2 linked regions of the Caenorhabditis elegans genome follow. The protein of the gene in region 2 purifies or fractionates together with the protein of the main gene of each other region. This does not show direct contact. Each region holds a gene or a part of one and is shown on either strand. Other genes may lie near its edges.

Region 1 (8,630 bases), on a different chromosome or scaffold from region 2:
ATGTCAACAGGCATTGTGTACATTTTGTCATGTGTTCGTTTCACAGTCGCTTATTAGAACACCATCATGCGGGGGTATAGCTCAGGGGTAGAGCGCTCGCTTTGCATGCGAGAAGTCTGGGGTTCGATTCCCCATACCTCCATTACTTTTTTAAAATTTCTTTGAAATGTGTTGAAAGTAAATGAAAAATCTTGCTGATTACAGAAAATAATTATATTGTTGATTTTTAGAAGAACAGTTCAAAATGGTAGTAAGCAACAATTCACTGTATAAAAATGTGCACAAATGTTCAACAGACCGAGACTCCATTGTCAGAGTGTTGCATTATCATTCTTTCAAGTTTTCCCGACACAATTCCACATTTTCCCGAGTGTTGCCGATGAGTTGATAGTTCTGAAATAAAAATAACTGAAAAAATGCATCACTATTATAAAGTACCATCATCGACATATTCTCTTACGGCTCTGCCAGGCAAACTTCGTTTTTTTCGGTCCCAAAGAATTTTTCCTTCAATCATTGGATGCGTTTGCGAAACACATTTGGGTGACACTTTTGGCATCCATTCACCATTCACACAAGTTGCCTTAGGGGGCCCTACAAGACCGATTATTTTGAAAGAAAGAATGCATAGGTTACCAATCAAATAATTGCCCTTCCCACACTGAAAACTGATAGCTCTCCCTTCTTCTACTTTTTGAATATAACTTTGAAACTCGTATGCACCAAGGATTCCCTCCAGAAGTATTTGTCCGCCAGGAAGTGTTCCATATGTTTTGCTAGGGTGTTCACACCAACCTAAACTTTATTGAAAATAAAAAAAAATTTGAATGATAAACGGCTCGACAAGTGTGGTCAGTGCAACTTAAATTGGTCAGTGCAACTGCAACTGGTCAGTGCAACTAAAATTGGTCAGTGCAACTGCAAGTGGTCAGTGCAACTAAAATTGGTCAGTGCAACTGTAACTGGTCAGTGCAACTAAATTGGTCAGTGCAACTGGTGCAACTTAAATTGGTCAGTGCAACTGCAACTGGTCAGTGCAACTTAAATTGGTCAGTGCAACTGCAACTGGTCAGTGCAACTTAAATTGGTCAGTGCAACTTAAATTGGTCAGTGCAACTGCAACTGGTCAGTGCAACTGCAACTGGTCAGTGCAACTTAAATTGGTCAGTGCAACTGCAACTGGTCAGTGCAACTTAAATTGGTCAGTGCAACTGCAACTGGTCAGTGCAACTTAAATTGGTCAGTGCAACTGCAACTGGTCAGTGCACTGCAACTGGTCAGTGCACTACAACTGGTCAGTGCACTGCAACTGGTCAGTGCACTACAACTGGTCAGTGCACTGCAACTGGTCAGTGCACTACAACTGGTCAGTGCACTGCAACTGGTCAGTGCACTACAACTGGTCAGTGCACTGCAACTGGTCAGTGCACTACAACTGGTCAGTGCACTGCAACTGGTCAGTGCACTACAACTGGTCAGTGCACTGCAACTGGTCAGTGCACTACAACTGGTCATGGTCAGTGCACTGCAACTGGTCAGTGCACTAATTTTGGTCAGTGCACTACAAGTGGTCAGTGCAAATGCAAGTGATCAGTGCACTACAACTGGTCAGTGCAAATGCAGGTGGTCAGTGCAATCGCAAGTGGTCAGTGCAAATGCAACTGGTCAGTGCAACTAAAATTGGTCAGTGCAACTGCAACTGGTCAGTGCAAATGCAGGTGGTCAGTGCAATTGCAAGTGGTCAGTGCAAATGCAAGTAATCAGTGCAACTGCAAGTGGTCAGTGCAAATGATTTTAGTTAGGAAGGACAAATGCTCCACGCATTTCTTTGCTCTTATCATCCCAGTCTGGAACAACTTATTCAAAAATGTTACGGTTTTTATGTCCCCATATCAGTTCTGTGAATTTATTCATCTCAACATCCCCCGGTTATAACTACACTTTTACCTCCATTCTCGTCTTTCTCCCCGTTTCACCTGTTCCCTATTATCTTATTTCCTTTTTTTGTAACTTTTACTCGAGTTGAACTCTTTTAGGGTTCGTCTCGTTTTATTTGTTTATTTCTCTTCTTTTAGTTAAATAAACTCAAATTCAAGAAATTCAAATGCAAGTGGTCAGTGCAAATGCAACTGGTCAGTGCAACTAAAATTGGTCAGTGCAACTGCAACTGGTCAGTGCAAATGCAGGTGGTCAGTGCAATTGCAAGTGGTCAGTGCAAATCCAAGTAATCAGTGCAACTGCAAGTGGTCAGTGCAAATGCAAGTGATCAGTGCAAATGCAAGTGGTCAGTGCAAATGCAAGTGATCAGCGCAAATGCAAGTAGTCAGTGCAACGGAGCAAAAGGAAAAAATGTTTGATCCAATCATTATGATGTTTCTTGTGGTTTGATACATCATTTACAAATGATCACCCTTTTTGGAGAAAAATGCGTCTAAAGATCAGAGGTGGTAATGTGTCGGCCTGCGACTGAGTTTTGGATCGGCCCACAACACGTTGACACCTCTACGTCAAAGTATGCGGTAGAAAAATTGGACAGATGTGTACCACTTTTCGGCCTGTGAGTAACGCACTTGGTAAACATTTCATTGGTGGTCCGTCTTTAGTCCATTCTCCATAAAGACATTTTATAATTTGATTATTTCTGTTTGGATGATAACCATTGTTGCATTCATATTTGGCGATTGAGCCGTGCGATGATTTCGAGAATAGAATTCGAGCATGTGGAACCCTTGGCGGCCAATTGTGGCAGCTTACTGAAAAGAAAAGCTGTGGTTTTATGCTATTTTAAAATTAAACTTACAAGGACTACAAACTGGAACATGTGACCATGTGGAATTGCTACAAATTAGGCGTTCATCGATGTTTGCTTCGTGTTGCTTATTGCATTCAACAATCACTTTGGAACCTGAAACTTGAATGAATTATTCTAAACTTTAGAAAAACAACTACCGGACGCAATGAGTTGACCTTCGCTTTTGTCTCTTATTTTTCCATTTTGTATATGTGGTACTCTACAAGAAGCTAAACATCTTGGAATCGGAGCACTCCATTGACCATCTTCCATGCATTTTGCCTTTGACGCTCCCTCGTGAGTCATTGTTTCCAAGCACCTGAATTTAAACATTTAAGAAACATAAATTTGTTTAGATTTGGAAAATCGTTACCTGAAAACTGCGACAGCTCCGAATGACGTTTCACTGCCCTCAATGTATCCATTGGGAAGGGTTGGAAGTACTGAACATCGAATTTCTTCACATCGCGGCTCATTTCCTCCCCATATTCCCTCAGCTAAACATATTCGTTGAACTTGACCAACGAGGCGATAACCATGATCACAGGAGTACGTCACAACGGACTGGTATGTCAATGAGCTACCGACAACTTTTCCATGAAGTGGGCTTGACGGACGAGAGCATTCAGTAGCTGGAAAAGTTTATGAGTTGTTAATTTATTATAACATAGGTAATTTGCAGTGTATTTCAGTATGTCCTTATGTATTCTGATTTTTGATCTTTTTTGTGGCCTATATAAAACGTGTGGTACAACTATCGAGGTCCGTGATGGATAACTATCGCCCGAACATCTTACGTTTTCTGGGTATTTTGAGTGGTCCGCGCACACAGATCATGGAACACTATTCACACAATTTCTACTCAAGAGAGTTTTGTAAGATTTAGGGTTACTGTGGATATATTGCGGTTGCCACCAGCGAACGAAACTGACTTGTTGCTCAATAAAACAAACTGGCTACCAACAAAACATTTTTATTGTTTTTTTTTTTCAATTTTTTCAAAGTGTACCTTTACAATTAGCCGGCTCATTTGTCCATTCTCCGTTACTGGAGCATTGACGGGAAGTCGAACCGACAAGAAGAAAACCAGGGTTACATGAATACTTGACGTGATGGGGATATTCAAATGTATCTCCCTCTCGAAGACCATTTTCTATATCTCCGGGATCCGGACATGCTCTTGCTAAAAGTTGCATTGACTTATTGGGCAAGTTTAAGTTTTTCGCATTTTTTCAAATTTTCAAAGTTTTACCTTTACATCTCAAATCAGGTCCAAACCATTGTGCAACATTTTTCCGATTCAACAGACATTTTGATATTGAAAGACCCTGTAAGCATTATTTTTAAAGATAAAATGGAGAATTTTGATTTAAGTCTCACTTTTGCGTTGAATTTGTGATAGCCTGGTATGCAATTATAAGCAACTTCAGCATCAAGGTCATACTCTCCGGAAAATGAAGACCCGTCGTGAACGGCAAATGGAATTTCCGGTGGTGGCCCGCATTTTACTGAAATATTTTGGGATTATACGGCAGTGTCGATAAGAAACGTAAAGCATTGGATGAGGAATCATGCAATTCTGTAGTCACATAATTTAGAAAATTCTTAAACAAAATTCCTAGATATTCTGGATCGATGTTTTGGTATTCAATCAAGTTGATTTGGTTAGATTGAACTTTAGTGGTGAAAACCTTTTTTGTAAGGCTAATTTATTTCTGAATACCCCTAACCGTTTTTTTTTTAAATTTTAAACCACTTGACAGCTGACAGCTCACCGCCACCAATCAACTAAATTTATCAACTGCTCGATAAAAGCTGAAATCTTTTTTCGTTGAGTAAAGTAGATTTGAAATTGTTTGTTTCACAAAATTGGTGATATTTTGATATTATCTTTTAGTGCATTTGATTTTTTGTTTATCTTGCTATAAATTTTGTTATATCTTTATATTGTTTTTTCAAAAAACTTAGGTTTAACTATTTGTGCACTTAAAAAATCTTCTTATTTTATTTTGAACCCGTAAACATAATTTTTTTAAATAAGGAACTTGAAAAAATACATTGTAACCTGCAAACAGGTTGTGAAGAACTCCATTCTTTGTTAGCCTGACATCTTCTCTGACTGGCACCAACTAGTATATATCCCTTGTTGCATCCATATTCTGCATTTGATCCAAATCGCAAATCACCAGCAGTTCGTATAAATCCATTTTCAATATTTGGAAGTGGGTGGCACATTGCAACTGAATAAAAACAAAAAAGTTCATTTTTTATATTGCTCAATAGACAAGATATTTTTATCACTCACTTGGGTTCACACAGCTCAAGCCACATTCTCCGTCGCACATACATCTTTTGTTTCTTTTACAATCTTCGTCTGCTATACACTCTTTTTTGCAATGTTTCGGCCGTTGTGATAGAGTAACTTCCGGACAAGATAGGGCCGACGCGTAGGTAATGGAGATGGCGAGTAGTAGTAGAAATCGCATTTAATTCATGTGATTTGGTACTATGAAAATTTTAAAAGAGAAATCCGCTTGAGTTCTTGCAAGACGGCATTCTTTCACCAGCTGACACGCAATGTATTGATTGATTGGGGTCTTTTCAAGGGTTCCCATTGTAAAGTTGCTCGAGTATCATGCTTGTCTGATCAATTATTTGCTGCGGGACATTGTGGCAAATAGGAACTGACTGCTGAAAAATTAGAGGTGAAGGTATTTTGATGTGATTTTTGCGGTTTTCACAACTTTCACAGGGTTACAGAAAAATCTTTATTTTTTTATTTTATTTTTCTCCAAAATTTGAATTCAAAAAAGGGGAGAATTTTGAGAAATATCAGTGAAGAAATACAAGTTTATCGCAGGGGCGACAAATCATATTTTTTGGCAAACGTCCTATTTGGAAATCGCCTTTTAGGTTTGAATGATTGTGGAAGTTTGAGATTTTGCAAAAAAATTGGTAGACTGAAAAATATAAAAAAACAGGAAACAGGTTACAATTGTAAATGTTTTGCTTATGAAAAATCCCTTAAAAAGTATTTGGCAAATTGAGTTTAGTTTCGGCAGATGGCCGAAAATGAAAATTTCTGTCAAATCGCCGCACTTTTAGAACAATAATTAATGCTTGCTATTTCAGAACTGTTTCCCCATAGTTGAATTTTAAAAAAAGTGCAAAAAACATTCTCGAAATGGAATAAATTGGACAAGTGAAAAAATCATTTTGAAAAATAAAAAAATATCTGGAGGTATGGGGAATCGAACCCCAGACTTCTCGCATGCAAAGCGAGCGCTCTACCCCTGAGCTATACCCCCGTACGGCATTTGAGTAAGAGACGCAAGTGAATATACATACATTTTCTCTCTCACCCATTGACAAACTGGTTGCCTCCCCGCGAGGTGTTCCTGTGAAGCGGGGGGGGGGGGGGTGTTCTGCGAGTTGTTGGTTTGCTGTTGAGATGAAGAAAAATAGCTTCTCGCGGACGAGAAAGTGCAGCTAATTTCATTTTTTTTTTTTTGGAAAATGGTTTTTTATTGCTCTCTATTATTGAGAAAACAAGAGATGATCTTAAACATTATTTTTTGCAAAAACTGTTATCTTGTCTTTTTTCATTTTAAATATGTAATTTGTAATTTCATCACATATCTGTAAAATGAACTCATCAAACAATAGTGCTGACCGTTGTAAAAATGAACCGCAATCTCCGAAATAAAACTTTAATTCTTTTAGGGACACTCAAATCTTCCCCCAACAAAACTATACTTTTTTTGGTTCCATTTGTTTGATTTACCATGTTACGCTTAAATGTACTTCACTTGACCGATCCGACCATAAAACTTTGGTTGCATGTCCAAGGCACATCTGTTGTGTGTGACCTCTCCCCACATTCCGGCGTAGCCTCGTTTACATTTGTCCCCTTTTGTTAGACGCAAGAACTATGCAAATTCGCTCTATTTCACTCGTACAGACAGTTGTTTTTGTTTTGGTTTGAATTGGGTTTTCTGGGTTAATTCTAGGTTTTTTCTAGCTTTTTAGTTTTTTTGCCGTTTGGTAATCGTTAATATTTCATCAATTTCAAAAATTTTCAGAAAATGGATAATGGTCACGGGTATGAAGAATTCGAATTATTAGAAGATGGATCGCTTGGAGAGTGCTCGACACAAGTGGCAAATGCAACATTTCTCACAATTTCAAAGTTGATATGTTTGGTCGTTGCATTCAAATTCATCAAACATATACGTAAGTTTTGATAAAAATATAAACTGAGACAAAAATACCTAACAAAATGTTTTAAAAACTTTGTTTCAAACAAATTTGTTTCTAATTTGTTGTTATGTTCAAATTGGAAAACACATGTGCTTGCTTTATTAATCTTGCCAAAAAAAAAATGACTAAAATTTTCACAAAGTAAGACTGATCTAGCTAGAGATAAGAGCTCCATGGTGAGACGGTAGTCTTAAGTGGAGTAACGCCAGTGCGGAAATTGTTAAAAACGACTTCTATGGTGCAAAAATAGCCAACTATTATATTAGCACTTTACGAAACTTCTTATTTTGTTTCAATAAGTGGTAAAAACTCAGTTTCTGCATCCATCTTTAAAAGTTGTCTATTGAAAAAATTTCCTTTGAATTTTATGTTCTTGTTTCAAACATTAATATTTAAACATTGTAGGGATTCGAGCATGCGACAGTGCTATATTTATCTCGAATATTGGCGAAAACTCAAAAATTGCCACATTTTGACAGTCAGAAAAAAGGTTCTAAAATTTTTTGAAAAGTTTTAACATGATATCTGGTCATTTTAGCACCACAGATGTGGTTTTTACATCTGCATACTCTTTTAGTAGTGCGGTTTTATAAACTAATTAACTAATTACTATTAACTAATAATTAACTAAATTAATAAATAATTAACTAATTACTAATAAACTAATTAACAAACTAAATAATTAACAGAGTTTCCTACTGGATAGAAAATTTTATCCACAGAAAAATGTTTCATAATTTGATAACCGATGTTTCAAATTATGTATGTATTGAAAAACATACTAAACCTATTATTTTAGAAGGAAAACGTGAAAATTTCGAAACCAAGTCATTCATTCGTTCGGGAATTCAAAAGTTACTGAGTATTTTTATAGTTGCAAAATTTAAGAAATCATAGTAGTAAATCAGTTTTGTGTGATTTTTTCAAAAACTGGTCAATTTCAGTCTTTTAGCAAATTAATTCCCCTTTTTGTAGCAATTTCAACAACGGTTCGTGTCTATGTACATGTCTTCGCCAGTACTTTCACAGTTATGTGGTTTTCAAGAAATCACCTACAATCGGCTATCATTTACAACATGTTCAGTTTGATATCGCTTGCACTGGCCATCAAACAATTTAGTGGATACATCATTCTTGCAGGGAACATCTCTCTTCTGATTGCATTGTAAGTATTTTTTTTATAAGTCAAGCGTTTGTAAAATTTGTGGGACAAATTAAAAAATTTTTAGGCAAAACTTCTGCCGACACTACAGATCCGAAGACTACTTTTTGTCCATTCGTGGAATTTTGATGATCCATATAATGAGACTGACCACGGTTGCCTTCAATCTGGAAAAAGCGAATAGCAACAAATTCCGATTTGTTCAGTTTTCCAGTTATGTTGAGTACATTTACTTCCCACCGTTCATCATTTTCGGGCCCTATTTGAGTTTTGAGCAGTTTTTCAAAATGAGAGACAAAAAGTGGACAGGATCTGAGGTTTGTTGTGAAGTTTTGGGAACTAAGTCGTAAGACTATTAGTAAGTTCTAAGTGTCAAAGTGTTAAATACGTTTCAAAATTTTTAATCAGAAAATTTTA
Region 2 (8,497 bases):
AATTGGCCCAGGATAGGTGAAGGCAGGCCTCTTTCTCCTTCACCACTCGAGGGCCTTCTTTGCTTGCGAGGCTTGGCAGATGGCATGTCCAAGGTCTAGAAGGCAACTTTACCTACCCCCTCGGATCCGACTTTGCTGGATGTGTCGTATTGAAATGGATCAGCAAGCTATTACCCATTGAGTACACCTCCATCCTCTGCTGCAACCCGCAAACTTTCCGAATAATCGGCGACGCAGGTGTCGGACCGTCGAATATCGTGACACTATCGTAAGGGCAGCTGCAACAAATTCAAGGTTTCCCACTTTGCAAAGGCAATTTGCAACTCACTGCTCTCCGCCAAAGAAAATATCAAAATCAGTAAAAAAGAGACGGATTCGTTCGCCTCTTCCTGCCTTCATCAGGTAGGAGCAGTGCATATTGTGGGGATAAGTGCCGGGGTAGGTTGGTGAGTAGAGGGTTCCGATTTTACGATCGGAAGAGTCGATTATGAAGCTGCACTTTTTGCCGCCAACTGGCTCCCCGGCAATGAATTTGTCTGGAATAAACGGGATCATGGCTGAGTTTTCATTAATTTTTTTTCCAGTTTTTGATCGTTTTTTAAGATTATAATAAAATTCTCGTTCAACTCTCGTGATCCGCAAAATCAATTTTTTTAAAAAAATTTTATTTTTCCGTGGATTTTTGCTCCGAAAAGGAGCATTTTCGGATGCAATTTGTTGGGATTTTAGAAAGGATTTTATGAGATTTTGGGATTTTTACGGTCTTCGGACCGAGTTAGTGACATTTTCACAATTTTTCCCATTTTTCTGGTAATCCCTTGAAAGTTGGAATTGTTCTCCCTAAGCGTAAGCCTATGCCTAAGCATAATATTAAGCATAAGCCTAAGCCTAAGCCCAATCCTAAACCTAAAAAAAACATTTAAAAAAACTAGCAAATTTTTAATTAAATGGGCTTGAATCGGACAATGTTTTGGTCAAAATCGGAGTACTTTTGGTAAAAAATGGGACTATTTTTTGGTCAAAATCGGACTATTTTTGGTCGAAATCCAACTATTTTTGGCCAGAATCGGGCAATTTTTAGTCACAATTTTTAGGCAATTTTTGGTCAAAATCCGACCATTTTTGATCAAAATTGGACTATTTTTTGCTCAAAATCGGACTATTTTCAGATCAAATTCGGACTATTTCTGGTTAAAATCGGACTATTTTTTGTTAAAATCGGACTATTTTTGATCAAAATCGGACTATTTTAAGGTCAAAATCGGACTATTTTTGGCCGAAATCAAACTATTTTTTGAAAAAGCGGAATATTTTTAGTCGAAATTGGACTATTTTCCGTCAAAATCGGACTATTTTAAGGTCAAAATCGGACTATTTTTGGCCGAAATCAAACTATTGTTTGTTAAAATCGGACTATTTTTGATCAAAATCGGACTATTTTAAGGTCAAAATCGGACTATTTTTGGCCGAAATCAAACTATTGTTTGTAAAATTGGAATATTTTTGGTCAAAAATGGGACTATTTTTGTGCCAAAATTAGGCAATTTTTCGTCTAAATTAGACTATTTTTGATCAAAAGCGGACAATTTTTTGATCAAAATTGGACTATTTTTGGCCAAAAAATAGTCATATTTTGACTAAAAATAGTCCGATTTTGACCACACTTACCTTCTGGAATAAACGAATATTTGGCTCGAAATCCATGATTATCCTCATGATTTGTCGAACGGGAATGTAAAACGAGTTTCATGACGCGTCGTAGGCTGATTCTAACGTGAGGCGCCACAGTACCACAGTAGCGACCTCCGAGTGCGGATGAGAGAATATCCTCGTCGACCGACTCGACTTCAGAGTAAATATCTACATATTCTATATCACAGCTGAAATTAAATTACGGGTTTTTTAGGGAGCCATATTTGCACTTTGATCTACGAAAAATTCGGGAGATTTCTCTGAAATTCCCGCATTTTTTGTAGATCAAACCGTGTATTTGGCGAAAAAAACTCACTTCTCAGAACTACCCGATAGGAGAAAATGGTCGAATTCGAGCCTTACACGCTGCCTCGATCCCGCAACAAACGTGTATACACACTGGAAATTTAGGGAAATTTAGGAAATTTTAAATTAAATTTTTTTTCGATAATTATAAATTTTGAGGTTTAAAAATTTAAAATCCCCCCGCGCGTACTTGCAAATTATATTGCTGCTCTGGTTTCGAGTTGTTCACCCCATGGCTCAACGCCAACTGCTTCGGCAGGCTCGGGAACTCGATGACACCTTCCGGTTGAGACTCGTCAAAGTGTTGATCGCATTCTGGAAAGGTTGGGGGTGGGTGGTGAGGGGTATCTGAAGCTCGCGCGCAGAAAGTTTGTCGAAAAGTGTGTGTGAAAAGCCTAGTTTGGACTAAAAAAAACCACCAACTTGTGAGAATTTTTTTTTCGATTTTTCCGGAAACCCCCCTTTCGTTTTGAACATGGTGCATCGATTGTTCAACTACAGAACTATAAAAAAGGCAATTTTTTTTTAATTCCGAAAATTTGCCGGAAATTTTCAATTCCGGCAATTTTCCGAAAAAAAATGTGCGAAACCACAAGTTGCCAGAAATTCCGCCAGTTGCCGTTTTTCCGGCAAATGCGGCACTTTGCCGATTTGCCGGATATCTCAATCCAAGAAATTTACCAATTTTCCGGAATTTCAAAATCCAGCAGTGTGTCGATTTGCCGGAAATTTTCATTTTCGACAATTTGTCAATTTTCCGAAATTTTTCAATTCCGACAATTTACAGGTTTGCCGATTTGCCGGAAATTTTCAATTTCGGCAATTTGCCAACTTGCCGGAAATTATCAATTCCGGCAATCTGCTAATTTGCCTGAAATTTCAATTCCTGAAATTTGCCGATTTGCCGGAAATTTTCAATACCGGCAATTTGTCGGTTTGTTGATTTGCCGATTTGCCGGAAATTATCAATTCCGGCAATTTGCCAGTTTACCAATTTGCCGGAAATTTTAATTTTCAGCAATTTGCCAATTTTCTGCCCATCCCTGGTTCAGATTATCCTTTTTCAAGGTTCGAGTTTGTTGTATGCTCATAATTTGTTCTGAACATATAATTCGGCAAATCGACAGTTTGCCGGTTTGCCGGTTTGCCGATTCGCCGGAAATTTTCAATTCCGGCAATTTGCCGATTTGCAGAAAACAGTCTATTGCCGCCCATTCCCCGATCGATGCACCATGATAAAAACTAGTTTGACATCGGTTTGCCGACTTGCCGGATTATGTAAATTCCGGCAAATATACCGATTTTCCGGAATTTTCAAATCCGGCAATTTGCCGATTTGCCGGAATTTTCAAATCCGGCAATTTGCCGATTTGCAGGAGAAAGCCGTTTGAAATAAAGAATTCCCTAGCCCAAAAAAAGTAAAACCAAAAACTCACTCCTCATACTGCAGGACCCCTTTCAGCCAGAACACCATAATCAAAACTAGCAAACAGGCAATGACAATAGTGAATAAAAGGGCAAAAATAATATCACAATCCAGAGCCCGACATCTGGCACAGTCCTCCTTAGTCTCCTTGGAGTCCCATTCCAAAAGTTCTATACGGGTCTCAACGATTCGCTCCAGGCTTCGCATGGCTCTGCGGGGACCGGGGGGACAGTCGGGGCCTGGGGGGACACAGTGGGGGACAGGGGGGACAGTGGGGGACTGGGGGGACACAGTGGGGGACAGGGGAACACAGTCGGGGTCTGGGGGGACAAAGGGGACAGGGGTAAATAATTGTGAGGGGTAGGGGAGGGGGGGGAGGTATGGAATATTTGGGGGGGGGGGGGTATGTATTGGGGGAGGCGGTATAAGAGCAAATATTTAAGAGGGAGAGAGTTAGGAAAAGAGAAAAATAAAGTTTGCTCGGAAGAATAGAGGAAAAGAGACGGGGATGGATTTAAAACTACGTTTCAAAATGCTAAAAAAGAGGGCCTTAGATGTGTGTGTACGAAAAAAGAAGATTAGAGTGATGGATTGGAATTCTGTCTCCCTCTTGGGAATTTTGGAGCAATACCTACCTAAAACGGCACTAGAGGGGGCTGCTGAACAAGTTCTCCCCCACTTAGAATCCACTTAAATACACAGACACACACACACTTTTCGATATACTTTTTGCGCTGCGAGGCTCCTAAGCTTGTCTGAGCATTTTTCGAAGAGTTTGATTTGAGGGGAATTGTGTTACATAGTTGGACGAAATTTGGTAATTTTGAGAAAAACATTTTTTAGAAAAAATTTTTTTTTTTTTTTGGGTCACTGTTGGCTTCACAATCAGGCGAGTATTAAATTTTTACATATTTTTTTGTATTATACAGTCTTAAATTAGTAAGTTATAGTTGAATTTTAAACTATTTGAAAAATTTTATGAAAAAAACATTTTTTTGAAAAAATTTAAGGGGAACAATTCCAAAAATTACCAAACATTTTTTCCAAAAAAAAATTTTTTTTTTTGAAATTATTTTTTAAGAGGTGAGTCGGATATAGTCGGATAGTTATAGCCTCAAAATTTCAAAATTCTTACAAAACCCCGAAGCTCTTTTTTCTGTTGAAATTTCCAATTTTCCAAAGATTTTCGAATTTTTGGACGATTTTTCTGAAATATTTCGATAGTTTTGAATATTAAATTTATTATAGAGTTTAAATTTAATTTTTTCTGATTAATAGTGAACTATGGAACAATTTCAAAAAAAATAAAAAATTTTTTTTGGATTTTCGAAAAGAATTTTTTTTTTTATATTTAAAAATTTCCAAAAAGTGCAGTTTTTCGAAAATTTTTGTTCTGATAAATTATTTTTTAACATTTTATTAACGAAGTGAAAAATCAGGCGTAAAAATATTTAGGAAAAAATCTAGAAATAATCGAAAATTTTGTTTTTTTAATTTTAGATTTTACGGATTTTCTGGAATTAAAATGTTTTGTTTAAATTAACTTTTTGCAACTTTCTACTTTTCTAGTTGAATATTTGTTTTAAAATATATTAAAAATTTTGTGTTTCAAAATTTTCGAAAAATTAAATTTTCTTCAAATATTTTGGAAAAACCTATGTTCTCTCAAAATGCCCTTCTTCCATTTTTCTCTCTCCAAAATGCTCATTACAACAAGCTTCATATTAAAAAAATGTCAAAAAAAAAAAAACTCACGAAAAATAGTTTTTCTACTATTACCGTCTGCCTTGGAAACGAATATGGACAGTAGGAATAGGTAGATCAAATGCATATTCATTCATTTCATCAGGGAACACGTAATATGGAGAATAAGAGTGTTATCTGAAAAATATTTATTAATGAAAATCGTTAAAATAAAGTGCAACAGTCTATTTCAGCAAGATGTTCGAAAAAGTTCAATTAAAAATACGGAAAATCAGCTAAAAATGCAAAAAATCGATGGTCAAAGGTGTGCGGCAGGGGTGTGCGGCAAACTCGCCGAATTTGCCGAATTTGCCGTTTGCCGAGCTCGCCAATATGCCGAATTTGCCGAGCACGGCAAATTTCAAAAAAGTAGATTTGCCGAATTTGCCGAGCTCGGCAAATTTCGAAATTTGACACACACCCCTGGAGTGCGGCATTATTATATAAGGTTATATATATTTATGGTAAGGAAATCATGTTTATAATAAAGCATACAATAAGTAGAACGATTTTTTAAGGCTAGTCATCAGTCCATATAAGGTTATATATATAAGGTTATATAAGGTTATATATATATTTTTTTTTTATTCGTTCACGTTTTAAAGAAATGGAAAGAAGAAGAATCAAAGGATTTAAAAAGGACAAAACATGTGATCGATAAGATGATCAAGTAACCGAATAATATATATATATATATATAAGGTAAGGAAATCATGTTTATAATAAAGCATACAATAAGTAGAACAATTTTTAGGCTAGTCATCAGTCCATTTTTTTAAAAAGTTCACTTGCAGAATATCGCTTCACAACAATTTCACCAAATTTTACCAAATTCTGAGAAAATGGAGGTCAAAAATAAGTAATGGTTTCTCAATGAGCATTGGTTTATATTAATGACCCTATTCAGTTATTAAACGCTCCACTGCTCAGCCAAAAAATAACCTACTTACTATTGGAATACTCAGTCCTAAGTGAGTACCCTAAATAAAATAAGTAAGTATGAATGATCCTATCTTGTTTTTAGGCACAAAATACATCTCAGGTTCTATTTGAGGCTACTAGAACCTAGATCCTTCAAATATAGAATAAAAACCTTAGATTTTCATTAGAAACTCTAACTACACTATTACAAGGTGGGTTATATATATAACTTAGCTACTTTTCTTTTTATGAATTAAGGAGTTTTATCTAAAGGTCCTATAAGCCTTTTAAATAAAAAAGCTCATTTCCTAACCGAGTAGTACATGTTGGAAAAGTTCGAGAAAAAGAGAGAAAACCGGGGTCACTGCAATCTGAGAAGACGAGAAAATTAAATAATGAAATTCCGAAAATGAAAGAAGGAAACGAATGGAAATAGTATCCTCCAAGGGGAAAAACTAAAAGAGTCCCCTCTTCCGCGCAAAAAAGCGGGGAATAGATTATTATGAGAGAGAGGGCGGCGAGGGGGCAGAGAAGAACATATGTGACGGGAAAAATGCAGAAAATGTTGAGAAGGGGGAGCAAGAAGGAAAAAGCAAGAAGAAAAAGAAGAATTCCATTATTATGTCTTCTGAAGAGAAGTCGTGTAACCAGTGCGCTGTCTAATCCATGATGATGAGGGGAGAAGGAGAAGAAATATGAATGTGTAGATTGCACTAAAGCTTATATGATTGTTACTGATGTTGCACGAGAAAATGGAAACTCCAAAAATAACAAGTATAAGGAAATAACAAGAGTCTTGGAATTGAAGAACCGTTGTGCTAGTCTGATATTACCTTCTTGCCAGGCCACTAGTACCTGATAGTAGAATAGGAATGCATTAAATTTGTTTCGAGGGATAATATATTTATTCCATTTATACTCAAATTAACAAAACTTGATTTTTTTTGATTTTTTCGCGCTCCATTGACCTGGACAACGCGTGGGAAAATCGTGCACTCCACACGGACAACTACATTAAGTTTTACAACTAAAATCGAGCCGCGACGCGACACGCAACGCGCCGTAATTCTACCCCAGATATGGCCGAGCCAAAATGGCCTTGTTCGGCAAACTCTTCCATCTCAATTTATGAGGGGAGCCAGAAATCCATGTAGGCGCTACTTTACACTCAAAATAAAGAAACTGCGTGGCGTGTACTGCAGAAAACCTAATATTTAGGCCGCGCCTTTTTCTCGTCCACTTACGGAGAAAAGGCAAAAATTTTTTGACCCCAACCAATATCAGGCCGCCGACTTCTCACGGGTTCCGCGCGCCGCTATGTTTAACTCGCAGCAGGCGGAGACAGCTCGCCACGCCCACAGCGAGTTAAACGCAGCGGCGCGCGGAACCCGTGAGATGTCGGCGGCCTGATATTGGTTGGGGTCGCGAATTTTGCCTTTTCCCCGTGAGTGGACGAGAAAAAGGCGGGGCCTAAATATTAGGTTTTCTGCAGTATACGCCACGCAGTGTTTCTTTATTTTGAGTGTACATCAGGGGTGTGCGGCAAATCTCAAAATTTGCCGAGCTCGGCAAATTCGGCAAATCTCTTTTTTCAATATTTGCCGAGCACGGCAAATTCGGCAAATTTGCCGTGCTTAACAAACTCGGAAAATTTTGATAATTTTTGATGTTTTTTGGAACACCAAAACTACCGCATTCTTAACACACATCTGGTTTCTGAATTAGTTCCGTGTAGTATGTCTGCTTAAGCATAAAACTAACTCAATTTTGTGTCATTTTACTAAATTTTTGGCGAAAAATCAATAATTTTAGTCAAAATTGTACTGTAAAATTTTTGACGTGTGCGGCAAATTTCGAAATTTGCCGAGCTCGGCAAACGGCAAATTCGGCAAATTTGCCGCACACCCCTGGTGTACATCCTGACTTTTGGGAATATACCGTATTTGAATTATTTGATGGCACCGTTTAAAATATTAAAAAGAAATTCAGGCTGTCTCATTGCGGTTTGATCTACGAACAATGCGGGAATATTTTTCCAGAAAAATTGTGACGTCAGCACGCTCTTAACCATGCGAAATCAGATGAAATGTCTGCGTCTAAATTCCCGCATTTTTCGAAGATAAAAGCGAAATGGGACTTTCTGACTCCACGTGGATCGATCTAAAAGTGGAACACATTTCAAACATTTTAATATTTTTTAAAGTAGGGTTCACAGTTTTGACGTTAGCATAAAAATCACTTAAGTTTCGCGAAACAGGAATCACACACAGAAAACTTATTGTGAATTAAAGTCAAAAATTGAAGCTACCGTATATTCTCTATTATAGCGGCACGCCTCAATATATAATCCTATTTCAGAAACAGTCAGCGGAAAAAATACGAAATATCATGGTGGAATGACTAATCCGC

The links.
Region 1: the proteins of lev-10 (region 2) and lev-9 purify together in Caenorhabditis elegans (affinity purification with a luminescence readout, with the first as the bait; one study listed by BioGRID). This does not show direct contact.

The regions. Positions count from the first base shown.
Region 1 is NC_003284.9:6,286,251-6,294,880, forward strand, and holds the start of lev-9 (Protein lev-9), read right to left. Parts: upstream 5,300-8,630; 5' UTR 5,278-5,299; coding exon 5,097-5,277; intron 5,032-5,096; coding exon 4,849-5,031; intron 4,300-4,848; coding exon 4,172-4,299; intron 4,120-4,171; coding exon 4,044-4,119; intron 3,975-4,043; coding exon 3,801-3,974; intron 3,424-3,800; coding exon 3,165-3,423; intron 3,111-3,164; coding exon 2,950-3,110; intron 2,906-2,949; coding exon 2,801-2,905; intron 2,754-2,800; coding exon 2,571-2,753; intron 796-2,570; coding exon 637-795; intron 595-636; coding exon 439-594; intron 394-438; coding exon 299-393; coding exon of another isoform or gene 290-298; exon of another isoform or gene 199-289; intron 143-198; exon of another isoform or gene 71-142; intron 1-70. Other genes in the region: mom-1 (Protein-serine O-palmitoleoyltransferase porcupine), read left to right, coding at 6,877-7,024, 8,027-8,216, 8,281-8,530. UniProt on the Caenorhabditis elegans protein: Scaffolding protein that is necessary to cluster acetylcholine receptors at neuromuscular junctions.
Region 2 is NC_003279.8:14,387,141-14,395,637, reverse strand, and holds the start of lev-10 (CUB domain-containing protein), read right to left. Parts: upstream 5,306-8,497; 5' UTR 5,256-5,305; coding exon 5,180-5,255; intron 3,779-5,179; exon of another isoform or gene 3,632-3,778; coding exon of another isoform or gene 3,435-3,631; intron 2,314-3,434; coding exon 2,189-2,313; intron 2,092-2,188; coding exon 2,009-2,091; intron 1,881-2,008; coding exon 1,669-1,880; intron 537-1,668; coding exon 329-536; intron 279-328; coding exon 117-278; intron 1-116. Other genes in the region: eat-18 (uncharacterized protein), read right to left, coding at 2,052-2,091, 3,435-3,631.